Linked DNA regions of Macaca fascicularis. The protein of the gene in region 7 purifies or fractionates together with the protein of the main gene of each other region. This does not show direct contact. Links are inferred from orthologs where the notes say so. Each region holds a gene or a part of one and is shown on either strand. Other genes may lie near its edges.

Region 1 (3,500 bases), about 21 Mb from region 7:
TAGGTAGCTCAGAGGTACAACCGCAGTTTACACGCTTCCTTAGTGATCCCAAAACAGTGCTCTCAGCAGAATCTGAAGAACTGAACCGAGCCTTGATATTGACCTTGGCTAGAGCAACTCATGTTACAGGTACGGTGACTATGTGACTACAAACAAACAAAAACAGATGAATTAAAGTGTGCCGTGATTCTACTAATTACTATGGGTATAACATACTAAAAAGATACTTTTCATTTGTTCAAAAAAAGCCAGTTGTTTTGATATCTTCACTATTTCATTCATTTATGGAAGCTCTTTTGTGTAACATCATTCTATTAATAACTGGGTTGAGCATCAGTTTTCAGTTATCTTCCATAATTTTAAAGTAGTAATTCTTTAAGCTTTTTGGTCTCAAGACTGCTTTACACTCTTAAAATTGAAATTCCCAAAGAGTTTCTGTTTATATGGATTATATCTATGGATATTTATTCTATTAGTAAAATAAAGTTTAAAAATATTTATTAATTTGTTTTTAAATAGTAATAAACATTACATGTTAGCATATGATGTTATGGAAAAAAGTATATTTTGTAAAGCAAAACTTTAGTGAGAAGAGATACCATTGTTTTACATTTTTGCTTCTCTAATACCCGATGTAAAGGAAGACATAGTTTGAATTCTCATCTGCTTAGACATTTAATCCATTGAAGTTTTAGTTGAAGTGAGTAAAAAATGTGGCCTCACACAGATGAGGTTAGAAAGAGAGGAGTATTTTAATAGCCTTTTCAGATCGTTGTGAATGTTCTTTGACATCACATGGAAAAATGATAGTTGCTTAAAAGTTAGTTGCGCCGGGCGCGGTGGCTCACGCCTGTAATCCCAGCACTTTGGGAGGCCAAGACGGGCAGATCACAAGGTCAGGAGATCGAGACCACGGTGAAACCCCGTCTCTACTAAAAATACAAAAAATTAGCCGGGCGCGGTTGTGGGCGCCTGTAGTCCCAGCTACTCGGGAGGCTGAGGCAGGAGAATGGCGTGAACCCGGGAGGCGGAGCTTGCAGTGAGCCGAGATCGCGCCACTGCACTCCAGCCTGGGCGACAGAGCGAGACTCCGTCTCAAAAAAAAAAAAAAAAAGTTAGTTGCAATGTGGAATCCAAAACCCTATCAGTGAACTTCACGTACTTTGTTACATTGTAATCTGAACATCTGTTTTGTACATTTAGTGGATTTTTAAATCCGTGCATGTTTTGTAACTTCATGAGTTATTCATTTTGAAAATATTGGTTCACTGAGTTACGTAGATCTAGCAAATGTTGACATTTTATCATACAGTATCAGAAAATTACATTTGTTAATATCACTGCAAAGTTTATTAGAAAAATCTAAGTTTTAGAATGCTGTCATGTCATGGTGGTAGATACATGTTTTCCAAAATTTCCATTTTTACTTAAAAGGTCAAATTTTATCATTAGTAAAAGTTACTATCATTTGTTTTCCTTGAAGTGACAAGCTCATTTTGTTAATTTTCAAGAAAATGTCTGCTAAATACTTAAGTCTAGCTAACTATAGTTTTCTGTCAGACATTCTTTCAAGTAAAATTGGAATTCAAAAAAAAAAAATGCAGCTGATTTAACTCAGTAGTCAGTCACACAAGTGTTTTTCCTCAAGACACCCATCAAACTTTGGAACACTAGGCATATGCTTCCCATTTTGTTAAATATGATATTAAAAATAAGTGTCGAGATTGACACTGGCACTTTTCTTTTACTGAGTGCATGTGGTGGAGAATACAAAGCCTTTTCATCTAGTTTGGCACCACTGTTTGATTTGTGCTTAGGACCAGCAGTTTTACCACCATTGCTTTTGCACCATCAGTGCTCATATCTAGTAAAAAAGCCAGTGATATCTTTTTATTATTATTTGACCTCACTGAATCTTTGAAGGGCTACTGGGGAATCCCTCAGAGGTCTGAAGACCACACTTTAGAACTGATGTTTTAAAGAGATAGTTACTGATTTTAGCAACCTCAAATACGTTTATGTAAATTATGTTGTTTTATGTAAAGAACCCTCTTCAATTCTGAGATTTATACATGCATTATGTAATTATTTCACTCTCCAAAAAAGACATCTTTCTTTATTCTGTTCCCTTGGCCAAATAAAGTACTACTAAATCAGTGTCAAAATAAATGAACAGTAGTGGTGGACCTGTACCATTATCACTGGTACTCTGTAACTTCAAAAAAGAGATTCCAAATGTCTTTTGTCATCTTTTCATAAATTGTTCTCATATTTTCTAATGTGATCATCCAGATCACTCAGAAACTAAGCAAATTTAGGTTCTAAGCTGGATATAACTAGTTAAGCAATGAATGCACTACAGTGAAATTCTCAGTGTACTTAATTATTATTTTTGCCATAATCTTTTATGAGTTGTGGACATAATCACTTATATCTGGATTACATCTATTTGTTTATGTTTAGATTTTTTTACAGGCTCTGATTCAATTCAGGGAACTTGGTGTAAAGACATACTTCAGACCATCATGAGTTTCACTCCTCATAATTGGGCTTCACACACCCTGAGCTGTTTTCCAGGCCCACTACAGGTAATTTTGTCTTGAATTACTTATTGAATACACATGAAATCCTTCTTCCCATTCACAGTGGTGTTCTAGAGTGAGTCTTGGTGACATCTGAATAAAATTAGCTTTTATTTATTTTAAAAATTATTTAGGGTCTGGGCATGGTAGCACATGCCTCTAGTCCTAACTGCTTGAGAGGCTGAGGCAAGGGGGATGACTTGAGCCCAGGAATTTAAGGTTACAGGGTACTATGGTCACACCACTGCAGCACATCCTGGGTGACAGAGCCAGACCCTATCTCTAGGGGAAAAAAAAAAAAAATTGTCGTTACTTCCAAAATCTCTCAAGTTGTTCTGTGTCCTACTCTGGGACTGGGCATGTTTCTAAAAGTTTAATTTTTGTGGTTTCACCTTAGGTAACAGTTTTAAGGGAAGGAAGAGTAGGAAGAGGAAAAAAAAGTGAAAAAATTTGAAAAAGAGAAAAAAATAGTTAATGGTTTCAGAATCTCATGAAAATTAACATAGTACCTGAAAATTTTTTCTCTCTCATAGAACTGAAATGGGGAGAAGTATAATGTAATAGAACTTCACAGAGTGCACATATATGACACTTCACTGAATTTTTTTTTTTACTCCCAGAAAAACTATAAACCTGGCTTTTCTAGTAGGGAGAAAGGCAAACCTCATCTGTCTTCTCCTTTTCAGAAAAAATGTTAGGCATGATGAACGTCCATTTTTCGTAACTCCTGTTAGGGCTAGAGCATTTGTTTTTCAAATTTACCAAATCACCTGGAGGGCTTGCTAAGCTATAGATGGCTGGCGCCCCAGCCACGGAGCTTCTGATTCAGTAAATCTGGGATAAGGTCTGAGAATTTTGCATTTCTTGTAAGACCAGATGATGCTGATACTGCTGGTGTTGGGACCACACTCTGAGAAT
Region 2 (3,500 bases), on a different chromosome or scaffold from region 7:
CAGCTGTTTTTGTAGATAAAATTTTATTGGAACACAGCCATCCTCATTTATTTATGTATTTTCGCTGGCTGCTTTTGTGCTACAACATTGGAGCTGAGTAGTTGTGTGGTTGCAAAGAGACTGTGTGGTTGCAAAGACGAAAGTATTTATTATCTGACCCTTTACAGAACAAGTTTGCTAATCCCTAATGAGGGATCCCATCAGGTAGGATGAAATTACAGGTTATAGATAAATTTTCTGTTGCCTCTGTAGGGTCTGATGTTTTAATAACATGAAGATTCTTCATTTGTTACAGTTCAGAGATAAAATAATTTATAGTTAATCTCTACCAAACCAAGAAATAGTTCTTTGTTGTAGCTAAGAAAATGACAGCTGTTTAAGACTTACTTGTTACATACGTTTTTTTCTTTCATTCTACCATGCCCAACTGTATTGCTTATAAATACTCTTGAAATAAATATCAGTGGACTTCCTGTAGACTTAATCCAAAGAGATGCAGAACCAAAATATTGAATCTCGTTAGACATTCCTGTAATTTGAACGCCATGATAACATTATACCATTTTATATTTTAATTAGCTGCCAATGTAGCCAATATTTATTTGATTTGTGATTTAGAAACCCTTTGAATAGTTTGGTGAATATTGCTAGATACCTTTTTTTACATTCCATTATACTTAGAAAATAGAATTTTGTTACACTTTCATAGTAATCATTTCTTTAATTTTAAGTGAAAATTCTGGCTTTTTCAATTCCATTTTAAATATGTTTCTTCAGTTTCTAGAGGAAAATAGAAAGCAAATGTAGGTCACACCATTAGCAAGCAATTTAGGGGCTATAATTACCAAGAAAACATCAACTGGATTATGATTCTGTTTACACAGTAGAATAAAAAAAAGAACCAGTCGGTCAAATAAAGAATTAAATTTCCTACCTGTTTTTATTCTTTAGGTCCTTATCTTGCTTCCCTGCCATTGGACAGCTCTCTACTTTCCCAGCCAAATTTAGTTGCCCCTACAAGTCAGTCTTTGATTACTCCACCTCAGATGACAAATACTGGAAATGCTAATACTCCATCTGCCACCTTAGCATCTGCAGCAAGCAGCACTATGACAATGACTTCAGGTGTTGCCATATCTACTTCAGTTGCCACAGCTAATTCAACTTTGACCACAGCTTCAACTTCATCTTCATCATCCTCCAACTTGAATAGTGGAGTATCATCAAATAAACTACCTTCATTTCCACCCTTTGGCAGTATGAACAGTAATGCTGCAGGATCCATGTCTACACAAGCAAATACAGTTCAGAGTGGTCAACTAGGAGGGCAACAGACATCAACTCTACAGACAGCTGGGATTTCTGGAGAATCATCTTCACTTCCCACTCAGCCGCATCCTGATGTGTCTGAAAGGTACCTTTAAAAATACTGCTTTTGGAGAAATATGAAAACTATGATACTTCTTTTTTCTTTTTTTTCTTGAGACAGAGTCTCATTCTTTTGCCCAGGCTGGAGTGCAGTGGCGGGATCTCCATTCACTGCAACCTCTGCCTCCTGGTTTGAAGCGATTCTCCTCCCTCAACTTCCCCAGTAGCTGGAATTACAGGCATGTGCCACCACACCTGGCTAATTTTTGTATTTTTAGTAGAGATGGGGTTTTGCCGTGTTGACCAGGCTCAAACTTCTGACCTCAGGTGATTGGCCCGCCTTGGCTTCCGAAAGTGCTGGGATTACAGACATGAGCCACCATGCCCAACCATGCTGCTTTTTTGTAAATAAGACATTCTGAATGAACATAAAGTGCTTTTTATCTTATTCTTGAAATTTTAGTTTGTATCTTTTTTTAAGACAAGGTCTCACTCTGTCACCCAGACTGGAGTACAGTGCGTGATCACGGCTCACCACAGGCTCGACCTCTTGGGCTCAGGTGATCCTCCCACGTCAGCCTTCTGAGTAGCTGGGACTTACAGGCATGCACAACCACACCCAGCTACTTTTTTGTAGAGACGGGGTTTCACCATGTCGCCCTGGCTGGTCTGGAACTCTTGGACTCAGCGATCTGCCTGCCTTAGCCTCCCAAAGTGCTGGGATTACAGGCATGAGCTACCGCACCAGGTCTAGTGTTGAATATTTTATGTATAAAATTATAATGAGGACTTTACTTCATAAAATCTTTATCATAGAATTCTAGAATCTGAGGGTGGGAATTAAGAGCTTGAAAACCATGTAGTCCAGATGCCCACATGACATTTGAGTCTTCTGTGGCATAATTGTCAAGTAGATTTGCCTCTGCAAATCACTCGAGTGATTGAGAAGTCACTATTGACCCAGTCTATTCAGAGGCTTTAGAGGGGTACTAAAGTTTGAATCTCAGCTCTGCCATTTAGCTGCTTTGTGACTTTGGGGAAACTCTAACTTTCTGAGCATGTTTTCTTATGTGTAAGATGAGAGTAATATGATATAATATACATTAAGTACTTTACACAGTGATTCCAAGTTATTTATGGTGACAGGAATGATCATGACAGCTCTCATTCCTTTTATGATGAAGGTTTTGAGTGATCTTCCCTTTTGATTTATAGGCTAGGTTAACCAGAGCTTAATTATATCTGTCAGCTATCCAGGGTGCAGTTGTGCCCAAAATTACACTCATGGGTAAAAACAAACCATTACCCAGATTGATCCACCTCTCTTGAACATATGAATAGATTTGAAGTGTAAAAAAATCAAATCACTCATCAAAGAATGAAACTTGTTCACCATTGAAGCTATAAAGTATGAAATAAATGTATATAGTCTAAAAATAGGACGAGATTAAGTGGTTCATGCCTGTAATCCTGGCACTTTGAGAGGCTAAGGCAGGAGAATTGCTTGAGACCAAGAGTTCAAGACCAACCTGGTTAACATAGTGAGACCCCCATCTCAAAAAAAAAACATGTATATATAGTCTAAAAATGTACTAGAACATTGAATGAGTCTGGAAACGTGGTTTCTGGAAACATGGTTTCTTTCTGGCCTAGCTCTACCTGTAACCAACTTTATAAATTTGGGAAGCTATTTGAGATAGCCTCAGACAAAGAGACCTATCTTTGTCTCAGTTTTATCCCTTAAACTCTAAGCAATCTTTTGTATCTAATACTCTATGGTTTTAAGAATTCTTTTTTTCTTTTTTTTTCTTTTTCTTTTTTGGTAAATTTAAGGCAAGACCTCTTAAGGCAAGTGTCTTTATACATTGTGGAATTGTATTTACAATGTTTATGGTTAACTTTGGTGAGAAAGAAATGTCCTTCATTTTCAGAGAGGCTTTCTCACACCTTTCACCAAATAAGAGGGAGGAGGGGGGATATTAAGAACCTGCTTAGATGCTACGTCAAGCATATACAGTATAACTTTTTGTCTCATTTCTACCTTAAATTTTAGCACGATGGATCGGGATAAAGTGGGAATCCCCACAGATGGTGATTCACATGCGATCACATATCCACCTGCAATTGTTGTT
Region 3 (4,300 bases), on a different chromosome or scaffold from region 7:
GGCTAATTTCCTCTTTTACATTTTTAAAATCTTTTTCTGACAGTTGTTTCTCAGCCGGAGTTGTACTAAAGCGCCTAACTGGTCTTTTTTCTTTAATTTTTTTCCAGACAGGATCTCCCTCTGTTGCACAGGCTGGAGTGCAGTGGCACTACCTCAGCTCACCACAACCTCTGCCTCCTGGGCTCAAGCAATCCTCCCACCTCAGCCTCCCAAGTAGCTGGGACTGCAGGTACAAGCCACTACGTTCAGTTAATTTTTGTATTTTTTGTAGAGACAGGGTTTCACCATGTTGTTCAGGCTGGTCTTAATTCCTGAGCTCAAGCTATCTGCCCGCCTTGGCCTCCCAAAGTGCTGGGATTACAGGCCTGAGCCACCATGTCCCGCCTGGTCATTTTTCTCTAGGCTCTCTCCTTTCCCAAACTTTTCTCCATGTTGCAACCAGGGTTCTTTTAAAGCTCACACGTGTTCTTTTAGTCTGGCACTGCAGAGTACTCCTGGATCTGGACCTACTCCTTTTCCAGACTTTTAAATTTTTATTTATTATTTATTTATTTATTTTTTTGAGACAGAGCCTCTCTCTGTATCCCAGGCTACAGTGCAGTGGACGATCTCGGTTCGCTGCAACTTCTGCCTCCCACGTTCAAGCGATTCGCCCACCTCAACTTCCCTAGTAACTGCGATTACAGGCGCGTGTCACCATGTCCGGCTAATTTTTGTATTTTTAATAGAGACGGGGTTTTACCATCTTGGCCAGGCTGGTCTCAAACTCGTGATCTCAAGTGATCCACCTGCCTCGGCCTCCCAAAGTGCTGGGGTTACAGGCGTGAGCCACCGCGCCCTCAGTTCATTTTTCTTTTTAAGCCCATTATAATCTCTGTAAGTCCTATCAGTTCCAAGAGACTTTCTGCACAAATACATCTCCAGGTTGTCAAACCTAAAAATATTTTCCTAGAGGATGGCCTGTGACGTCAAGGCGCCAGGTAGACCCCGGAGGAAAGCTCCAAAGGAGGCCGCCATCTTTCTTACAGCAGCCCGGCATTTTGCGCATGCGCTTCTGATTGTCTGTCCGCAATGACGCTCTTCGGCCTTCTCGGCACCCATACGTTTGGGAACGGCAGTTTCGAGGTTTGTGAGACTTCGGCTTCCGACCGGAAGTGAGAAGAGCAGGAAGTTGGCTGGTTGCACCGGTCTGGGGGCTTCCCGGGCTCCGGTAACCGGAGGACTGGGATCTAATCGTCGCTCAAAGGCTCCTAGGTGCGCGGGTGCATATAATTCCCGACTTCTCGAGAAGACACTAGAGCCTCAAGGAGGTGTGCTTCTAGTGTTTAAGTGGACACGTGTTGTGGATGCTGGCTTAGAAGGACCTATATACCATCATTTTAAAATAACTTCCTCTTGGCTCTCTCTTTTTTTTTGAGACGGAGTTTCGCTCTTGTTGCACAGGCTGGAGTGCAACGGCGCGATCTCAGCTCACCACAACCTCGCCTTCCGGGTTCAAGCGATTCTGCTGCGTCAGCCTCCTGAGTAGCTGGGATTGCAGGCGCTCGCCACCAGGCCTAGCTAATTTTTTGTATTTTTAGTAGAGACGGAGTTTCTTAATGTTGGTCAGGCTGGTCTCGAACTCCCAACCTCCGGTTGATCCGCCAGCCTCGGCCTCCCAAAGTGCTGGGATTACAGGTGTGAGAAACCGCGCCTGGCCTTGGCTCTCTTTAAAAGGCATTTTTAGGCTAGCCGCAGTGACTCTCCCTCCTGTAGTCCCAGCTACTCGGGAGGCTGAGGTGGGAGGATCGCTTGAGCCCAGGAGTTCGAGGTTATAGTGAACTAGGAACTCCCCCACTGCACTCCATCCTGGGCTACAGAGCGAGATCCTGTCACCAAAAAAGAAAAGGGTATGGGGGAAAGGCATTTTCAGAGCGATGGAATGCCTAGATTCTAGTTTGGTCCCAACTCTGCTACCAAGTTGCTGTGTGTATCCTGTCCCTCTCTGAGTCTCAATGTCCTCATCTGTAAAAATGAAGGTCCCTTAAGACACTTTTCAGTTCTTCTGAATTTTGTTGCCTCTTTATTATCTCGTTTGAGCCACATAACCTTGGGAGTTAAAAATCATTGGCCTTTGGCTGGGCGTGGTGGCTCACGCCTATAATGCCAGCACTTTGGGAGGCCCACTCACCTGAGGATCATCTGAGGCCAGGAGTTCAAGGCCAACCTGGCCAACATGACAAAACTCTGTCTCTACTAAAAATATTAAAAAAAATTAGCCGGGTATGGTTGTGGGTGCCTGTAATCCCAGCTACTCGGGAAGCTGAGGCAGGAGAATCGCTTGAACCTGGGAGGCGGAGGCTGCAGTGAACAGAGATTGCACCATTGCACTCCAGCCTGAGCGACAAGAGTGAAACTCTGTCTCAAAAAAAAAAAAAAAAAAAAATTGCTGGTCTCATTTTATGAGGAAGATATTGAGTCCCAGGGTGAGGGGTTATAGACAGGACTTTCTCAAGATTGCACAGGTAACTTGGAGGTTTCAGAACTTGAGACTAGAAGGCAATGCTGTAACTCCATGACCAGATCTCCTTTTTATATTTCTGTATCATCAGTTCCTGGAACTGGCCATGTAAGACACTGAAATGTTTTTAAATGAATGAATCTTTTGATTTGAAGGCCAGTGCCACAACAGATTTGGTCTCTCTCGACTACTCTGATGTATAAACAAGTGAACTCTTTTCCAGGTATATCCCGTGCCTTACCTGACTGGGGGCTCTGAGTCCAGTTGTGTTGTCTTCAACTTAGACACCATGGAGGCACCTCCAGTCACCATGATGCCTGTCACTGGGGGCACCATTAACATGATGGAGTACCTATTGCAGGGTAAGTGAACCAGGGAACTTGGATTACCTGTTTTCCTCTTCTCTGTTCAGCTTCCCTTAAGATGAGAGACAACACAAAAGCAGCCTGCACAGTTTCTGGCACCCAACTATGTTTTTAACTGTTACTTTAAATTACAGTTTTACATGCACTAAACATATTAAATCTGCCATCTTGGCCGGGTGCAGTGACTCACGCGTGTAATCCGAGCACTTTGGGAAGCCGAGGCGGGTGGATCACGAGGTCAGGAGATTGAGACCATCCTGGCTAACACGGTGAAACCCTGTCTCTACTAAAAATACAGAAAGAAATTAGTCCGGCGTGATGGCGGGTGCCTGTAGTCCCAGCTACTTGGGAGGCTGAGGCAGGACAATGGTGCGAGCCTGGGAGGCGGAGATTGCAGTGAGCCGAGATCGCAACACTGCACTCCAGCCTGGGCGACAGAGCAAGACTCTGTCTCAAAAAAAAAAAAAAACCTTAACATATTTAAGTGTACTGTTCAGTATTGTTAAGTATATTAACATTGCTGAACAACAGATCTTTAGAACTTTGGTTTATTGTGAGTAGCTTGAAAAAATACTTAGTACAACTGTTTTTTTCTTTGAGACAGAGTCTCGATCGGTCACCCAGGCTGCAATGCAGTGGCATGATAACAGCTCATGCAACCTCCACTTCCCGGTTCAGTGGATTCTTGTATTTCAGCCCCCCGAATAGCTGGGATTGCAGGCGTGCATCACCATGCCCGGCTAGTTTTTGTATTTTTAGTAGAGAGTTGCAGTTTCATTATGTTGGCCAAACTGATCTTGAACTCTTGCCTTCAAGTGATACACTTGCCTTGGCCTCCCAAAGTGCTAGGATTACAGGGATGAGCCGCCACGCCCAGCCTAAAATGCTTGTTTATCATCCTATAAAACTGCAACTCTTTACCCCTTAAACACTAATTCCCACTCCCCTCTATGCCAAACCCTCAGCAGCTATCTTTCTAGGTCCTGTTTCTCTGATTTTTTTTTTTTTTTTTAAGATGGATTCTCACTCTGTTGCCCAGGATGGAGCACAGTGGTGCAATCTCAGCTTACTGCAGCCCCCACCTCCCAGGTTCAAGCAATTCTCCTGCCTCAGCCTCCTAAGTAGCGGGGTTACAGGCGTGCACCACCATGGCTAGCTAATGTTTGTATTTTTAGTAGAGACGGGGTTTCTCCACGTTGGCCAGGCTGGTCTTGAACTCCTGACCTCAGGTGATCCACCTGCCTTGGTCTCCCAAAGTGCTGGGATTACAGGCGTGAGCCACTGCGCCAGGCCAGATTTTGTCAACAAGTATCTGAATATGTTCCAAACATTTGAGCCATAGCCATGGAGGGAGAAAGATGACTAAAAAATAATGTATGTCAAGCCAGCTATTACAGGCTTATGACTGTAATTCCAGTCGTTTGGGAGGCTAAGG
Region 4 (2,971 bases), on a different chromosome or scaffold from region 7:
AAACTTGTTATAACTAGTTGATAGTTTCTGAATTGCATAATTTCTGTGTTCAAAGATTAGTGTCATTCAAGGCAGAACCTATTCCACTCCTAATAACGTTTTATAGGAGTAGTGAAGATTTGACTGTTCTTCTCTTACAGCCTCAAAAACTGGTAGAATCTGAGTGTCTTCAGGCCAACCTGGTGGAAATGTTGTTCTCTGAAGATTAAGATTTTATGATGGCAATCATGTCTTGATTTCCTGATTTGTTCTAGTATCAATAAACTGTATATTGCTTTGAATACATGTTAGCAATAAATGAGGTTAAAAAACTGGCATGTGTCTAAACAGTAGAGTGCTATTAAAATGCCCATGAACCTTTAGTTTGCCTGTAATATATGGATATTTTTAAGATATAAACAAGTCTTCAGAAGTAGCAGTAAAGGCTCAAAGGAATGTATCATTGAAGGTGACGGAAATACCTAAAAACTCCTAAAGGCGCAGAGCACACCTTCCAAATCTTTCAAAAGATCAGGATCTTTTATTTTAAATTATCTGCATCTGCAAAGCAACTGATATTCCTGAAACCCCTTCTTTGATTTTGGAACGTAGAACCTAACCTCACCACTGAAGGAAGCATATTACCTCTAATCCAGCCTCTGCTTAATTCAGGCAGTTTTGTTTTGTTCATGAAGAAACCGATCCTGAGCACTAGAGGCAGTTCGTTTTGCGGCTCTCTCAATGTGCTTTACTTGGGATTAGGCAGGTGGCGGAGAGGGGCTGGAAAGACTGTGTAACCCAGTGGTGGGAAGAACTCCAAGCTGGAGTCAGTCACACTGATTCTACCACTTACTAGCTGTGTAACCACAGGCAAGTTACCCGCCCCATCCAAACCTCAGTTTTCTCTTCTGTAAACAAGGTTCTGAGAATAAAATGAGAATTCAAGGAAGCACTTAACATAGCACCTGGTATGTGGTACCTCCCAAATCAATGTTAGTTTTCCCAAATGAGCACAAGTATTTGAGGCTCCTCATGTTTGTTCTAAAGTCAAGAGTCCAATTAGTAATTAACCACTAGTTGTCCTGCCATGACTAGGTCAAATGAGGCCACAGTGATTCTTAAAGCCACCTTGCAAAGCAGGTAATACAGGGATTTCCTGTCCTGCAGAATTTGAGAACCTTTATGCAGTTCCTATCCTGTGATTTCAAGAGGTCACTGACTCCGCTACTCTCACTACATAGATAAGAGTGGTAGAGTAGTTGATCTGAGAGACAGTAAGGTTCCAGGAGATGGCCTTGCGCTACTATATGTCAGGAAGAGCTAGCCTTAGAATTCAGTATACTTGGTGGCCCACCCCTACCCCATGCCCCAGTGCCTCATTTGGTCTAAAGCACCTAACTTTTCCATTCTTAATCAGCTGACTATGCTAAATGCATACAAAAGAAAACACCTTACAAATCCACAGGGAAATCAAAGTAGACCAATTCAGGTTTAAAAGAAATAGTCTATTAACAATAAAAAGTTGGATTAAAAAGCACACTAAAGGTTCTAGGGGCTACCATAATAAAGGTAGATAGGAAGAGTTTTCATTTTTTGTCTTCACTGTACAAAAGAAATACATTATATACATGTATTGAGAGCCTCATCTGTATCCGGTTTTTCATTTTCCCGATGTGTTATTTTGCTGTTGCTGCTCTGCCAAGGCTTGCTGAAGGCGCATCCGCTTCCGGGAATAGTGCTGCCAATGTAGAATCTGCTGTTCATCAATGAATTTCGCACACTGAGCATTCACCAGCTCCTTTCGGAAGTGTTCGTATTGGAGCAGCTCTAACATGTGTAAACACTGAGGGTACCTGGGTTTAAGTTTATAAGTAAATGAACAACATAATTTAAGTAAATAATGCCAAGGTCTAATTAAGTTATTCTCTTAAAAATGATCTTGTAGCCTACCATTTCTTTAACTTAGTACACACTGGCAGCATAGGGTGTTTTCCCTGATTGGTCATCAAAGGTCAGTGTTCAGCAATATTTTCGAAAGTGAGAAGGTTTAAGTTCAGAAAGATTAAATTTAAACTTGCTCAGGACCACACAACACAGTAACTGGTAAGCAGAGTGAAAATGTAGGGACAAACCATGCTATTCCCTTCTAGTGGTTTCCAACGTGAAGAACATGAACATATTTTACTAATTCTGTGTTTAATTGATAGTTCTTTGTTTTTCCATCAATAGTGATAAAAAGACAACTTTCATTTAAAAGTGAGTTGGTTTGAAAGAGAACTATGCACATACATTATACTCTTCTTGTCCACAGGGATATACCAACTCTGAAATTAGATATACTCTAGGATTGGACAAGTAAATATACTGTGGATAAGGACAGCCAAATTTCGACAAGGAAAGGAAAAAGGCTAGAATGAATCCTGTGTTACTGAGCTGGTATTGAAAACATTAGTATGTACTTAGGGCTTTTAATATAGGTAGACAGGATAAACAGATGTATACATGTGTGCATGGATACACATACAAACATAGAGTTCTTGAGCTTTGTGTACTGAGAGGGCCTAGAAGCAATGACACTGTGGTACTAATGAACACACAATGTCCAGATTGTGGTATCCAAGGAGCAGGTTTCCTTGGAGAAAAGGGTGATTCAGGGATAAGAGAGGGAAAGTACAAGATGAGCCTGGAACATTACGTAGTGCCAGAAGAAAAAGTGCTAAAAATTATTGGGACGATCAAAAGTATTCAGGAACCAACTTGAAGGGACTCCCAATGGCCAAATCTAGAATACTCAGAGCAAGAAAATACATAATTCTAATTCACAGGATAAAATACTAAATGGATGTAAATTTCTTTAATAAAATAATAAATAGAAAACAAGGGAATGTACTGCCTTACAATCGAATTCCAAACTAATAAATGCAGAATGACAGAATTCGAAAATCACCACAGTAAAAAATGTTTCAAACAAATATCTTCAAAAGATGCTAAA
Region 5 (3,965 bases), on a different chromosome or scaffold from region 7:
CAGAGATGGGCCTTGATCACACCACTTACTCCATCCTGAGCAACAGATGGAGACATTGTGTCAAAAAAAAGTTATTGAACTGGGTTAGAGAGGAAAATTTTTTAAAAAAAGAAAAAGAATAAATGAAATTGCTAAAAAGACAGCAGTGAACAAACCAGACAAAAACTCCTACTTCACAAAGTTTCCATTTTTACCCTTCTCCCCTTGCACCTGAGGAGTACATTTTTTCTTTTTTTTTTTTTTTTTTAAGACAGAGCATCACTCTGCAGCCCCGGCTTAAGTGCATTGGCACAATCAAGGTCTACTGTAGCCTCGACCTCCCATGCTCCAGGATCAAGTGATCCTCCCAGCTCAGCCTTCAGAGTAGCTGGGGCTATAGCTAATTTTTCCTTGAAACAGGGTCTCGCTCTGTCACCCAGGTTGGAGTGCAGTGGCACAATTCTGGCTCACTGGAGCCTTGACCTACAGGATTCAGGTAATCCTCCCACCTCAGCCTCCCAAGTAGCTGAGACTACTGGCTTGTGCCACCATGCCTAGTTAATTTTTATATTTGTTGTAGAGACAGGCTTTTGCCAGGTTGTCCAGGCTGGTCTCCAACTTGTGAGCTCAAGTGATCTGCCTGCTTCGGTCTCCCAAAGTGCTGGGACTACATCCTTGAGTCACTACCTGGCCCTAATTTTTTTTATTTTTTATTTTATTTATTTATTTATTTTTAATTAATTTATTTATATTTTTGAGACAGAGTTTTGCTCTCGTTGCCCAGACTGGAGTCCAGTGGCACCACCTTGGCTCACTGCAACCTCCACCTCCTGGGTTTGAGTGATTCTCCTGCCTCAGTCTCTCAAGTAGCTGGGATTGCAGGCATGCCACCATGCCGGGCTAATTTTGTATTTTTAGTAGAGACAGGGTTTCACCATGTTGGCCAGGCTGGTCTTGAACTCCTGACCTCAGGTGATCCGCCACCTTGGTCTCCCAAAATGCTGGGATTACAGGAATGAGCCACCACGCCCAGCCAATTTTTTTTTTTTTTTTTTTTTTGAGAGGAAGTTTCCCTCTTGTTGCCCAGGCAGGAGTGCAATGGCACAATCTTGGCTCACCACAACCTCCACCTCCTGGGTTCAAGTGATCCTCCCACCTCAGCCTCCCAAGTAGCTGGGATTACAGACATACGCCACCACAGCCAGCTAATTTTGTGTTTTTAGTAGAGCCAGGGTTTCTCCATGTTGGTCAGGCTGGTCTCAATCTCCCAACCTCAGGTGATCCGCCCGCCTCGACTTCCCAAAGTGCTGGGATTACAGGCGTGAGCCACGGCGCCCGGCAATTTTTCATTTTTTTGTAGAGACAGGGCCTCACTATGTTGCCCAGGCAGGTCTCGAACTCCTGGGCTCAAGGGATCCTCCAGCCTCAGCCTCCCAAAGCGCAGGGATTACAGATGTGAGTCACTGCTCCCGCGGGGCCTCACCTTTCGACCTCTCCTCCAAAACACACTCCTTGTTTTTCTTGAGAAACCTGCTGATAAATATCTGCACTTCGATGCTCCAAGATTTTTTGAGCGACTATTACGTTCCAGAAACTATATAAAAATGAATCAGGCAAGGACCCTAATCTGCAAAGCTCAGAGTAAACTGGAGATAAACAAACAATAACACAGCTCACTGTATCAACAGAACTATGCCCAAAATGCCAAGGAAGCATCTAAGCCGGAGTGTGGAACTTTAGAAAATCTTAGTAAAGTTCCCCAGGAAAGTTGTTTTTCTGCAGTTATTAGTTCGGTCAATAAAAGAATTAAATTCAGCACAGTTTAAAAATACACAACAGGCCGGGCGCGGTGGCTCAAGCCTGTAATCCCAGCACTTTGGGAGGCCGAGACGGGCGGATCACGAGGTCAGGAGATCGAGACCATCCTGGCTAACACGGTGAAACCCCGTCTCTACTAAAAAAAAATACAAAAAACTAGCCGGGCGAGGTGGCGGGCGCCTGTAGTCCCAGCTACTGGGGAGGCTGAGGCAGGAGAATGGCGTGAACCCAGGAGGCGGAGCTTGCAGTGAGCTGAGATCCGGCCACTGCACTCCAGCCTGGGCGACAGAGCGAGACTCCGTCTCAAAAAAAAAAAAAAAAAAAAAACAAAAACAAAAACAAAATACACAACAGTACAGGATCTGAACACTTGACATTGTAGGGATCCGCTGGCTGCTAATAAATACAAGGAATTAATCATTTCATTCATGCCAAAATAGTCTCCAGTACGTTTACACACAGCCCTAAATTTATTCAGGCGTCTCTTCTGGAAGGAGATGTAAGCTGGTTTTGTATTCACTAGCCCCGTCTCGCACCACTTTAGGCCAAAAGTGCCCTAGCCGAGCATGAAATCTTCACAGAAGTTGAGAGTCCCCATCACCCCAAAGTCGAAGCTCTATAGTCATCAAGGAGGGTATAGTGACAATCTAAAACTCATACACATTCCCTCTCCCGGACTCTGTGCCCCTCAAGTGGCCCCCATGGGACATCTGCAAGAACCTTCTCTCACAAACTGGCTCCCCCAGTTGTGTCCCGCCCCCTCCTTTCCCCCTCAGTCACTTACCCTCGGTTTCCCCCTGAGCTTTCATCCTGAAGGCGGCGAGAGACTGGATCTGCCACAAAAGGATAAGCCCTTCCCCACCACTAACGGGGGAAACAAGTTGGCTCGGGATTCCAGGACGCAGGGTACCAGCAGTCCCTTACTCTTCGCGGGAAGGATCAGTCTGAAGTCCCCGGCGGCAAGAAGAGAAGGGTGCTCGAGGCCGCCGCCATCTTCCCCAACGGAACTTCCCAAAATTCGCGAGATAAACCGTGGTCCTGCCAGAAAGAGGAAAAGGACAGGGCATCGAAATCTCGCGAATATTGGTCGATGCGTGGGCCTCGCGAGATTTCTTTCAGCCCTGTCTTCTTTGATCTGAGTTGTCTCAGGCCTCACGCCGCTGTATGTAGCTTTCAGCTCCCTTCGGAAACCGGCATTTTTTTGCTTATTTTATTTTAGCAGTTAACTCGCAAATTAACTGATTAATTAACATGTCGCTGTACTTAAAGACTGGCTTTTTTTTTTTTTTTTTTTTTTTGACACGGAGCCTTGCTCTTGTCGCCCAGGCCGGAGTGCAATGGCACGATCTCGGCTCACTGCAACCTCCGTCTCCCGGGTTCAAGCGATTCTCCTGCCTCAGCCTCCCTAGTAGCTGGGATTACAGGCACCCGCCACCACGCCTGGCTAATTTTTGTATTTTTAGTAGAGACGGGGTTTCGCCTTGGCTAGTCACCCGGCCAAGACTAGCATTTCAAAGGGTATCGGTATCAGAAATGTCTCATGAAAAATAAGTTTGGGCCGGGCGCGGTGGCTCAAGCCTGTAATCCCAGCACTTTGGGAGGCCGAGACGGGTGGATCACGAGGTCAGGAGATCGAGACCATCCTGGCTAACACCGTGAAACCCCGTCTCTACTAAAAATACAAAAAAACTAGCCGGGCGAGGTGGCGGGCGCCTGTAGTCCCAGCTACTCCGGAGGCTGAGGCAGGAGAATGGCGTAAACCCGGGAGGCGGAGCTTGCGGTGAGCTGAGATCCGGCCACTGTACTCCAGCCCGGGCTACAGAGCAAGACTCCGTCTCAAAAAAAAAAAAAAAAAAAAAAAGAAAAATAAGTTTAACCTGAGATACTAGACGCAGTAATTACATCCTAAGAAAGATAGTGGCGCGGCCGGGCGCGGTGGCTCACGCCTGTAATCCCAGCACTTTGGGAGGCCGAGGCAGGCGGATCACGAGGTCAGGAGATCGAGACCATCCTGGCTAACACGGTGAAACCCCGTCTCTACCAAAAATAGAAAAAAATTAGCCGGGCGTGGTGGCGGGTGCCTGTAGTCCCAGCTACTCGGGAGGCTGAGGCAGGAGAATGGCGTGAACCCGGGAGGCGGAGCTTGCAGTGAGCGGAGATCGTGACAC
Region 6 (4,147 bases), on a different chromosome or scaffold from region 7:
GAAGCTGCAGTGAGTCATGATCACAGCACTGCACTTCAGCTTGGGTGACAGAGAATTCAACTTAAAAAAACAAACCTGTATATGCTCTACAGAGAATCACATAAAACAATGTTAATTTTTTTCTTTCAATTAACAAATGTAATTTTTAAAACCTCAAGAGAAGTCTGTTATATTTACCCTACACATTGTGCCTTCTTTATTCCCGCCATTCTAAGTTTCCTTCTGCTATAATTTCCCTTCTAGAAAGAAGGGAAATCTTTTTAGCAGCTGTTTTTTTAGAATTTTTTTTAGGAAAAAACTTCCCTTGACAATTCTTTTAGAGCAGGTTTACTAGTGATAAATCCTGTTAGTTCTCCTTCATTTGAAAAATATCTTGACCTTTTCTTTTTATTTGTACCTTTTTGACTCCTTTATAACACTTAGGTACTTTGAAAAAGTTTTCTGATCAAATCTTCTCTCCCCCCAAAACTATAATGAAGAGTAGAGATTTATGCCAAATGTCTGTGATAGCAAAGTGTTTTTAATAAACATCAATGAAAATACACATAGTTAAAAGTTCAAAAAATTTCTATGACTAGCCAATAAATTGCTGCAACTTTTACAGCTAATGCTGGTGTTCCTGAAATTTGAAACATAGTACTTTTCAAGAACTGTGGACAAGTTTGATTACCACAAAAATAACAGGCAGAGTGTTCTATTGTTTTTTTTTCTCCTGAAACTTAAACTCTGAATAGCAACAGATTGCAGCAAATGTAGCTCAGGATATTCTGAAAAATACAGCCCCAGGAGATGGCCAGTTAAAATGTGGACCACATTTCAATTCCACCTTTCCAGTGGAGATAATCAGTAGACTCAAAGAGATCCAAGGGTTGGATGAGTAACCATAGTTGAAAATGCTGACACAAAGTATTATTTGGCAATAATAAACTGAGGTGAAATGGTGCCAAGTAACTGATGTAGTGGAAGTTATGTTCTGGTCTGACTAGAATACAGCAATAAAAGTTGAGAGGTTAAAAGACAGAACCTTCAGATAAATGAAGAGAATGAGAAAGAATTGATTCAAAAAACATACTTCATTGTGATGACAAGCAAATTAAGGAGAAGGATGAAAAAAAGCAAGGTGAAAAGAAATAGGAAAAATAGTTCAGGCTGTAGAAAAATTTTTTCACAACAGCAAGGAAATTCTCTTGACAGAGAAATTTCTTGGTAAAATAAACATGGAGATGAACTAGAACAGGTATGAGGTTCTGGAAGAAGAAACATTTGCATAAATGTGACTTTCTTATCCAGCCACACTAACTCTATTTCTTAAGAGCAATACAATTTCCAAAACTTTCTTGTTCAAAGCTCAGATTTACACAATGCCACTTCTAAGAGGCAGGACACTAGCCTAAACTAAAATGTTCCTTATGTCTGTTCTTACTGTCTTCTCCTCTGGCTTGAGAGATGTTTTGATTTGCAAAAGTACTGGCCAATACAACAAAATAAAGACATAAATTAAGTCATAACAGAATTTTACATGTTTCCTTATATTATGTTCATTAATGCATTACCTGCCGCAATAATTTCACTCAGTTAAAAAATGAGTATGATGGTTTAAAGCTGGTTCAGTCATGATTTTATAAGCTTATTTATCAAGAGTGAAAATAGAAGACTATTAAAAATAGCTAAAAAGGTAACGTGTCATAGTGTTTAATGTTTCTGTAATTGTTGATAAGGCTTGTATCTAAGTCTGATGCAGAATTATTAATGGCACTCAAATAGTTCTTTTCTCAGCCACATAGTATCCACTGGTGCTATGAATCTGGAAGAGACTGGCTATGGCTACCACTTCTTGTCTTCAGTTGTGACTGTGCAATATCAGCAAGTGCGCTTTGTATCTTTTCCAGAAGCATGTCTCCTCGATAAACAACATCCTCCAGACATGTAGCAGCTTCATGGTTTTCTTCTTCTAGCTTATATAAGCTAGCAGCCTTTGTAAAACACAAATTTTAAAATCTTTAGAGTTTAGAAGGAGAGAAGCTGTCGCAGATGTACTTATTTTTAAATCTGGATGACTTTGCAATCATTGTGATATATTTTTCAGTAAAAAAATTCTAAAAATCAGATAACTTTTAAGAATTTTCCCCATGTGAATTATTAAAAAGAATGACTTTTCAATTAGAGATCTCTAGATATCTGTAAGTAACTCCCTTCCACACTACGTTTGGACACCATTATTCTACTCCACATCTAGAATGCCACCCTCCTCTCATTCTTCACTAGGAAAAGAGACAAAATTGAGGAAAATAAGAGGTTTTCTTATCAGGGAAAATTGAATATTATCACAAAAGGTACTACGATTTGAATGTGTCCCCTCCAAAATTCATACATTAAAATCTAATCCCCAATGTGATGGTACTAAGAGGGGGAGGGGCCTTTAAGAGGATATTAAGTCATAAAGGCAGAGCTCTCATAGATGGAATTAGTACCCTTAAAATATGGCTTGAGGTTGAAGAGGGAGCTCTTGCTCTTCTGCCCTTCTGCCTTCAGCCATGTGAGGAAACAGGAAGAAGGTCCTCAACATGGTCCTAAACATGGTACCATGTTTAATAAAAATTCATTACTCATGCACAATGAGTAATAAATGCCTTGATCTTGGACTTCCCAGACTCCAGAACTGTGAGAAAATTAATTTTTGTTCTTTATAAATTACTGTCTCAGGTATGTTGTTATAGCAGCACAAATGGACACAGACAAAAGGTATTAAATCTACCTCCTTTAATTCAAAATTCTCTATTACTGGTAAAATTCTCAAAGGAATAGAGGCTTACCTGTAAAGCAGCTGTAGATTCTTCACTGGGTAAGGAATCTATCAAAACATCAATGTCTTTTGCGGTTCGGGCAATCAGTGCTGCAAAAAGCTGGGCATACTCTAGAGATAAAGATACTGCTAGATTAGGATATTAGAAAACCTCAAGTTTTCAGAAACAAATTTTAAGTTCATGAAACCAGAAACTTCATATAGCTTTTTCTGTCCTAAGATTCTAATGATTCGGCCAGGCATGGTGGCTCACACCTGTAATCCCGGGACTTTGGGAGGCCAAGGTGGGCAGATCACAAGGTCAGGAGTTTGAGACCAGCCTGACCAACATGGTGAAATCCCATCTCTACTAAAAATACAAAAATTAACCAGGCGTGGTGGCATGTGCCTGTAATCCCAGCTACTCAGGAGGCTGAGTCAGGAGAATCTCTTGAACCTGGGAGGAAAAAGTTGCAGTGAGCCAAGACTGCATCACTGCGCTCCAGCCTGGGTGACAAAGCGAAACTCCATCTCAAAAAAAAGATTCTAATGAGTCTAATGATTAAATATGCACCAATCCTGTTATACATTTAGCTCAAATTGGGAATTAAGCATAATGTATGTCATTTCATTTATCATGACAATATAGTGGTCACTTGAATAAAGAAATTTATAGGGGGGCAGAGCAAGATGGCCGAATAGGAACAGCTCCAGTCTCCAACTCCCAGCGCGAGCGACACAGAAGACCGGTGATTTCTGCATTTTCAACTGAGGTACTGGGTTCATCTCACTGGGGAGTGCCGGACAATCGGTGCTGGTCAGCTGTTGCAGCCCGACCAGCGAGAGCTGAAGCAGGGCGAGGCATTGCCTCACCTGGGAAGCGCAAGGGGGAAGGGAATCCCTTTTCCTAGCCAGGGGAACTGAGACACACAACACCTGGAAAATCGGGTAACTCCCACCCCAATACTGCGCTTTAAGCAAACAGGCACACCAGGAGATCATATCCCACACCTGGCCCGGAGGGTCCCACACCCACGGAGCCTCCCTCATTGCTAGCACAGCAGTCTGTGATCTACCGGCAAGGCAGCAGCGAGGCTGGGGGAGGGGCGCCCGCCATTGCTGAGGCTTAAGTAGGTAAACAAAGCTGCTGGGAAGCTCGAACTGGGTGGAGCTCACAGCAGCTCAAGGAAACCTGCCTGTCTCGGTAGACTCCACCTCTGGGGACAGGGCAATAACAAACACAGCCGAAACCTCTGCAGACCCAAACGACTCTGTCTGACAGCTTTGAAGAGAGCAGTGGATCTCCCAACACGGAGGTTGAGATCTGAGAAGGGACAGACTCCCTGCTCAAGTGGGTCCCTGACC
Region 7 (3,500 bases):
CCTGGAGCAAAGGACACAGAAAAGACGGGACACATACTCTAATGTTGGCAAAGGGTCCTCCTGAAAATAGGGATCCTGCAGAGCTTGCTCCGAGGTAATTCTCTTGGTTGGATCCATGGTCAGGAGTTTCTGAAGCTAGAGTGACACACAGGAAATGCAGAGCACATGAAAAGGTTGTTTACAAGTCAACGCCTTGCCTTTTGTATTCCTGTGTAACAGGATTAATATAAAATACATTTTGTATACCTCACTGCAGATTAAGCATACTACATACTTTTATGTGAAACTGGCAGAAATCATCAGCCTTAAAGCCCTTTTAAAGTTCATTTTCTGCTGATAAATCATTTAAAGTGAAGGCTGAAAGACAAGGGTGACATCTCAACAAAAAATATTTAATTTTGCCCCAGCATCCAACAATTTCTTTTGTTTCTAAAGAGGAGGAACAGCTGAGTGAACAGAAGGCGAGAGTTGTGCTGAGAATCAGATTTCAGTCTGGGAGAGAAGCACCTACCAAGAGGAACACTTTGCTGTCGGGCTTGACCTTGTGTTTCTCCATGTACTTTATGAGGCTACTGTTGGCATACCTGCAAGGACACACACAGTCACACGTCACTGGGAACGCTCATCCAATTGATATTTTTTAATGACAAGCTCCAAGATTGGCTTTCCTATAAGGTATGTGTTTAAGACATTGTTTTTTCTGATTAAGAAGGAACACATTACCAAATATTAGCAAATGTGTGAAGAAATAGGAAATGTCACACATAACATGAGAGTTTACACTGTTACAATCCCTTCGGAAAACAGTTATGCATTAACCATTAGTGTTGAAAATGTGTATAGCCTATGACCCATCAACTCCATTTCTAGGCACAAACCTGAGTCAAAGGATGCTTTTGCACATGTATATCAGGATACATGGATAAAAATGTTCTTAGCAGCATTTTAGTAATGGTCATATATATATATAGACAACCCAAATGTCCATCAACTGAAAAATGGGTACGTTTTTATATATACACAGAATGGAATGTTATACAACAGTAAAAACGAATATGCGAGGTTAAGTGAGGAGAAAAAGCAAGTTGCAGAAGAAAATACATAATATGTTACCATTTATAAAAAGTTGAAAGACAATAAATTGAACAATATTTTTAGAGTTACATAAACATGTGGACTAGAACTCTAATAAAAACTGTGGGATGATAAACTCAAACGCAGAACACTCAGAGTCTATCCTCTGGGAGGGAGGTGGATAGGGAGATGGGGCACACAGAGTACTTTAGTAATCTTAGTGATGTTCTAATTCTTAGGTTCAGAGGTGAGCAAAGGGGTATTCATTTTATTATTCTAAATATACTATATGTTTTTTCATTATATATTATTTCCTACATATGAAATATTTCAAATTAAAAAGGTCTAAAAATAGTTAATATATGTTCATGATAAAAAGAATTACAGAATATAGAAAGTATAAGGAAGAAAATTAAAATCACAATCAAGCCACTCCGTGGCCAAAAAACCACTGACAAAATTTTTATAATGTCCCTTTGGCGTTGTGTGTGTGTGTGGCATATACATACATGGTATAAACACAGGAATTTTTGCTTTGTTTTTATAAAATTGGAATCCTACTATAAAAATTGTCTTAGCTTTTTATTTAATATTGTTCCATAAACATTTTCCCTTGTCAAATACTCTTCAAACTTATTGAGTGGCTGCCTATCTCCTACTGGTACGGGTATTACTCGTTTCATAATAACTGTGGCATACAAGTCGTTGTAGCTAAATCTGATACGCATGGCAGGGAGCCGACACTGCCTAGCGGATGAGACTCAGAGACCCCTCCTAGACCCTGATTCAGTCATTCACCAATTGTGTGATCTTGGGCAAGTTAGTTAACCTCTGTGAAAGCCTTAGGTTCCGAATCTGAAAAGTGGAAACTGTAATTATACCTACCCTATAGATTTGCTAGGAAGATCTTAGGAAAAAATGTCGGTAAAGGGTTTAGCACCACCCTGGTATATAAGAAGTACTCATCTATTTGTGGCAGCTCTGATTACTTCCACAGGATAAATTCCAGGAATTATCAGGTCAAAGGGCATGCACATTTTAAAGTCTTTTTTAGGTGCTCTAGAATCTCACTACACAAATGTAGCCTTTACCAGCAACCTGGGCATCACCTGAGAGCCTGCATTAGAAATGAAGGTTCTTAGTCCTCACCCCTGATTCTGACTTAGAATCTACATTTTTAACAAGGTCTCCAGGTGGTTTGTAGGTACACTGAAATTTGAGAAGTACTCATTCTCTCCAGTAGCATATGAGTAATAATTTTTAAAAAATAAAAATAGAGATAGGGTCTAACTATGTTGCCCAGGCTAGTTTCAAACTCCTGGGCTCGAGATCTTCCCGACTCAGCCTCCCAAAGTGTGGGGAGTAAAGGCATGAGTGAGCCACTGTGCCTGGCCGGAATGTCCATTTTACTGTACCCTTGCCAACAAGGTACCATACAATGTTAAATGAAAATAACTAGTTTGGTTTTGGGTGTTTAAAGAATTTATAGAACATTCAGGTTGGGATTCCATAAGGCAATTAGATAAATGATTTTGAAACTTGGAAAAGTGAACGGAGTAAGATACATATTGGGAGTTATCCACATAATGGATGGTGAATTGTGGCCATCAAAATCATGACATCTGACTGGGAAAGTATCCAGAGTGAGAAGAGGGCCCAGGATAGAACCTTGATATTAGCACTGTCCTTGAGAGATGGATACAGGCAAAGGACCTCACCAAGGATTGTGAGAAAAAGGGGTCAGAAATGATCAATGCCAATCTCTATTTCTCTTAATGATGTCTGCTTTTGTTCCTATAAGCCATCCTGTCCTAAAATTTTCCTGGTAAGTTGCCAATAGAGAAGCTCTTCCACAATTTTCGGTAGGTGTGCATATTTATAACAAACACCTCACATGCCATCACCCTTAATCTCATTTCTGCTCAAAGTAAATGCCTTCATCAGTTTGTTTTACTCATATTCCAAGCCACATGTTCTTCCTTCTGCCAGCCTTCCAGGTTTCCTAGTCCAGCATATCAGTTACCAGTCATTACTCAGAAAAAATAAAACCACAGCTGTGGCCTTGAACGGAGACCTTTATTCATGCTAAAACATAACAGACATAAACTACCCATTGACCCTTACATTCTTAAAAGTCTTTAATACTGCAGCCTAAACCTGAACTATATACGTTAATGGTATCTGGAATACCTTTTGTAAATCACAGGCATAATTAGTATGCTAAAATCTCAGTTTCTAGTTTAAATAACAATCTACATATGTTTTTTAAAAAGATTAACTATTCTCATTGAAATTACTACCTATAATTAATGTGCACTATGGTTTGAATGTTTATGTCCCCTCCAAAATTCATGTTGTTGAAACTTAATTCCCAATGCAACAGTGTTAGAAGATAAGGCCTTCCAGAATCGAGGGCTTTGCTTTCA

What was found.
Region 1: the proteins of CDK19 (region 7) and MED23 purify together in Homo sapiens (affinity purification with mass spectrometry; 5 studies listed by BioGRID and IntAct, counting the BioPlex papers as one, with this or other methods). This does not show direct contact. The link is inferred for Macaca fascicularis from reciprocal best matches to the Homo sapiens genes CDK19 and MED23.
Region 2: the proteins of CDK19 (region 7) and MED13 purify together in Homo sapiens (affinity purification with mass spectrometry; 6 studies listed by BioGRID and IntAct, counting the BioPlex papers as one, with this or other methods). This does not show direct contact. The link is inferred for Macaca fascicularis from reciprocal best matches to the Homo sapiens genes CDK19 and MED13.
Region 3: the proteins of CDK19 (region 7) and MED18 purify together in Homo sapiens (affinity purification with mass spectrometry; 5 studies listed by BioGRID and IntAct, counting the BioPlex papers as one, with this or other methods). This does not show direct contact. The link is inferred for Macaca fascicularis from reciprocal best matches to the Homo sapiens genes CDK19 and MED18.
Region 4: the proteins of CDK19 (region 7) and MED31 purify together in Homo sapiens (affinity purification with mass spectrometry; 6 studies listed by BioGRID and IntAct, counting the BioPlex papers as one, with this or other methods). This does not show direct contact. The link is inferred for Macaca fascicularis from reciprocal best matches to the Homo sapiens genes CDK19 and MED31.
Region 5: the proteins of CDK19 (region 7) and MED1 purify together in Homo sapiens (affinity purification with mass spectrometry; 7 studies listed by BioGRID and IntAct, counting the BioPlex papers as one, with this or other methods). This does not show direct contact. The link is inferred for Macaca fascicularis from reciprocal best matches to the Homo sapiens genes CDK19 and MED1.
Region 6: the proteins of CDK19 (region 7) and MED21 purify together in Homo sapiens (affinity purification with mass spectrometry; 6 studies listed by BioGRID and IntAct, counting the BioPlex papers as one, with this or other methods). This does not show direct contact. The link is inferred for Macaca fascicularis from reciprocal best matches to the Homo sapiens genes CDK19 and MED21.

The regions. Positions count from the first base shown.
Region 1 is NC_088378.1:35,571,250-35,574,749, reverse strand, and holds part of MED23 (mediator of RNA polymerase II transcription subunit 23), read left to right. Parts: coding exon 1-129; intron 130-2,463; coding exon 2,464-2,588; intron 2,589-3,500. UniProt on the Homo sapiens protein: Required for transcriptional activation subsequent to the assembly of the pre-initiation complex. Component of the Mediator complex, a coactivator involved in the regulated transcription of nearly all RNA polymerase II-dependent genes.
Region 2 is NC_088390.1:46,425,498-46,428,997, reverse strand, and holds part of MED13 (mediator of RNA polymerase II transcription subunit 13), read left to right. Parts: intron 1-951; coding exon 952-1,414; intron 1,415-3,421; coding exon 3,422-3,500. UniProt on the Homo sapiens protein: Component of the Mediator complex, a coactivator involved in the regulated transcription of nearly all RNA polymerase II-dependent genes.
Region 3 is NC_088375.1:206,730,028-206,734,327, reverse strand, and holds the start of MED18 (mediator of RNA polymerase II transcription subunit 18), read left to right. Parts: upstream 1-1,500; 5' UTR 1,501-2,441; coding exon 2,442-2,504; intron 2,505-2,723; coding exon 2,724-2,862; intron 2,863-4,300. UniProt on the Homo sapiens protein: Component of the Mediator complex, a coactivator involved in the regulated transcription of nearly all RNA polymerase II-dependent genes.
Region 4 is NC_088390.1:6,686,294-6,689,264, forward strand, and holds the end of MED31 (mediator of RNA polymerase II transcription subunit 31), read right to left. Parts: intron 1,833-2,971; coding exon 1,640-1,832; 3' UTR 501-1,639; downstream 1-500. Other genes in the region: TXNDC17 (thioredoxin domain-containing protein 17), read left to right, coding at 141-209. UniProt on the Homo sapiens protein: Component of the Mediator complex, a coactivator involved in the regulated transcription of nearly all RNA polymerase II-dependent genes.
Region 5 is NC_088390.1:60,495,343-60,499,307, forward strand, and holds the start of MED1 (mediator of RNA polymerase II transcription subunit 1), read right to left. Parts: upstream 2,801-3,965; 5' UTR 2,607-2,800; coding exon 2,582-2,606; intron 1-2,581. UniProt on the Homo sapiens protein: Component of the Mediator complex, a coactivator involved in the regulated transcription of nearly all RNA polymerase II-dependent genes.
Region 6 is NC_088385.1:29,787,043-29,791,189, reverse strand, and holds the end of MED21 (mediator of RNA polymerase II transcription subunit 21), read right to left. Parts: intron 2,915-4,147; coding exon 2,814-2,914; intron 1,974-2,813; coding exon 1,797-1,973; 3' UTR 501-1,796; downstream 1-500. UniProt on the Homo sapiens protein: Component of the Mediator complex, a coactivator involved in the regulated transcription of nearly all RNA polymerase II-dependent genes.
Region 7 is NC_088378.1:14,654,570-14,658,069, forward strand, and holds part of CDK19 (cyclin-dependent kinase 19), read right to left. Parts: intron 585-3,500; coding exon 512-584; intron 136-511; coding exon 38-135; intron 1-37.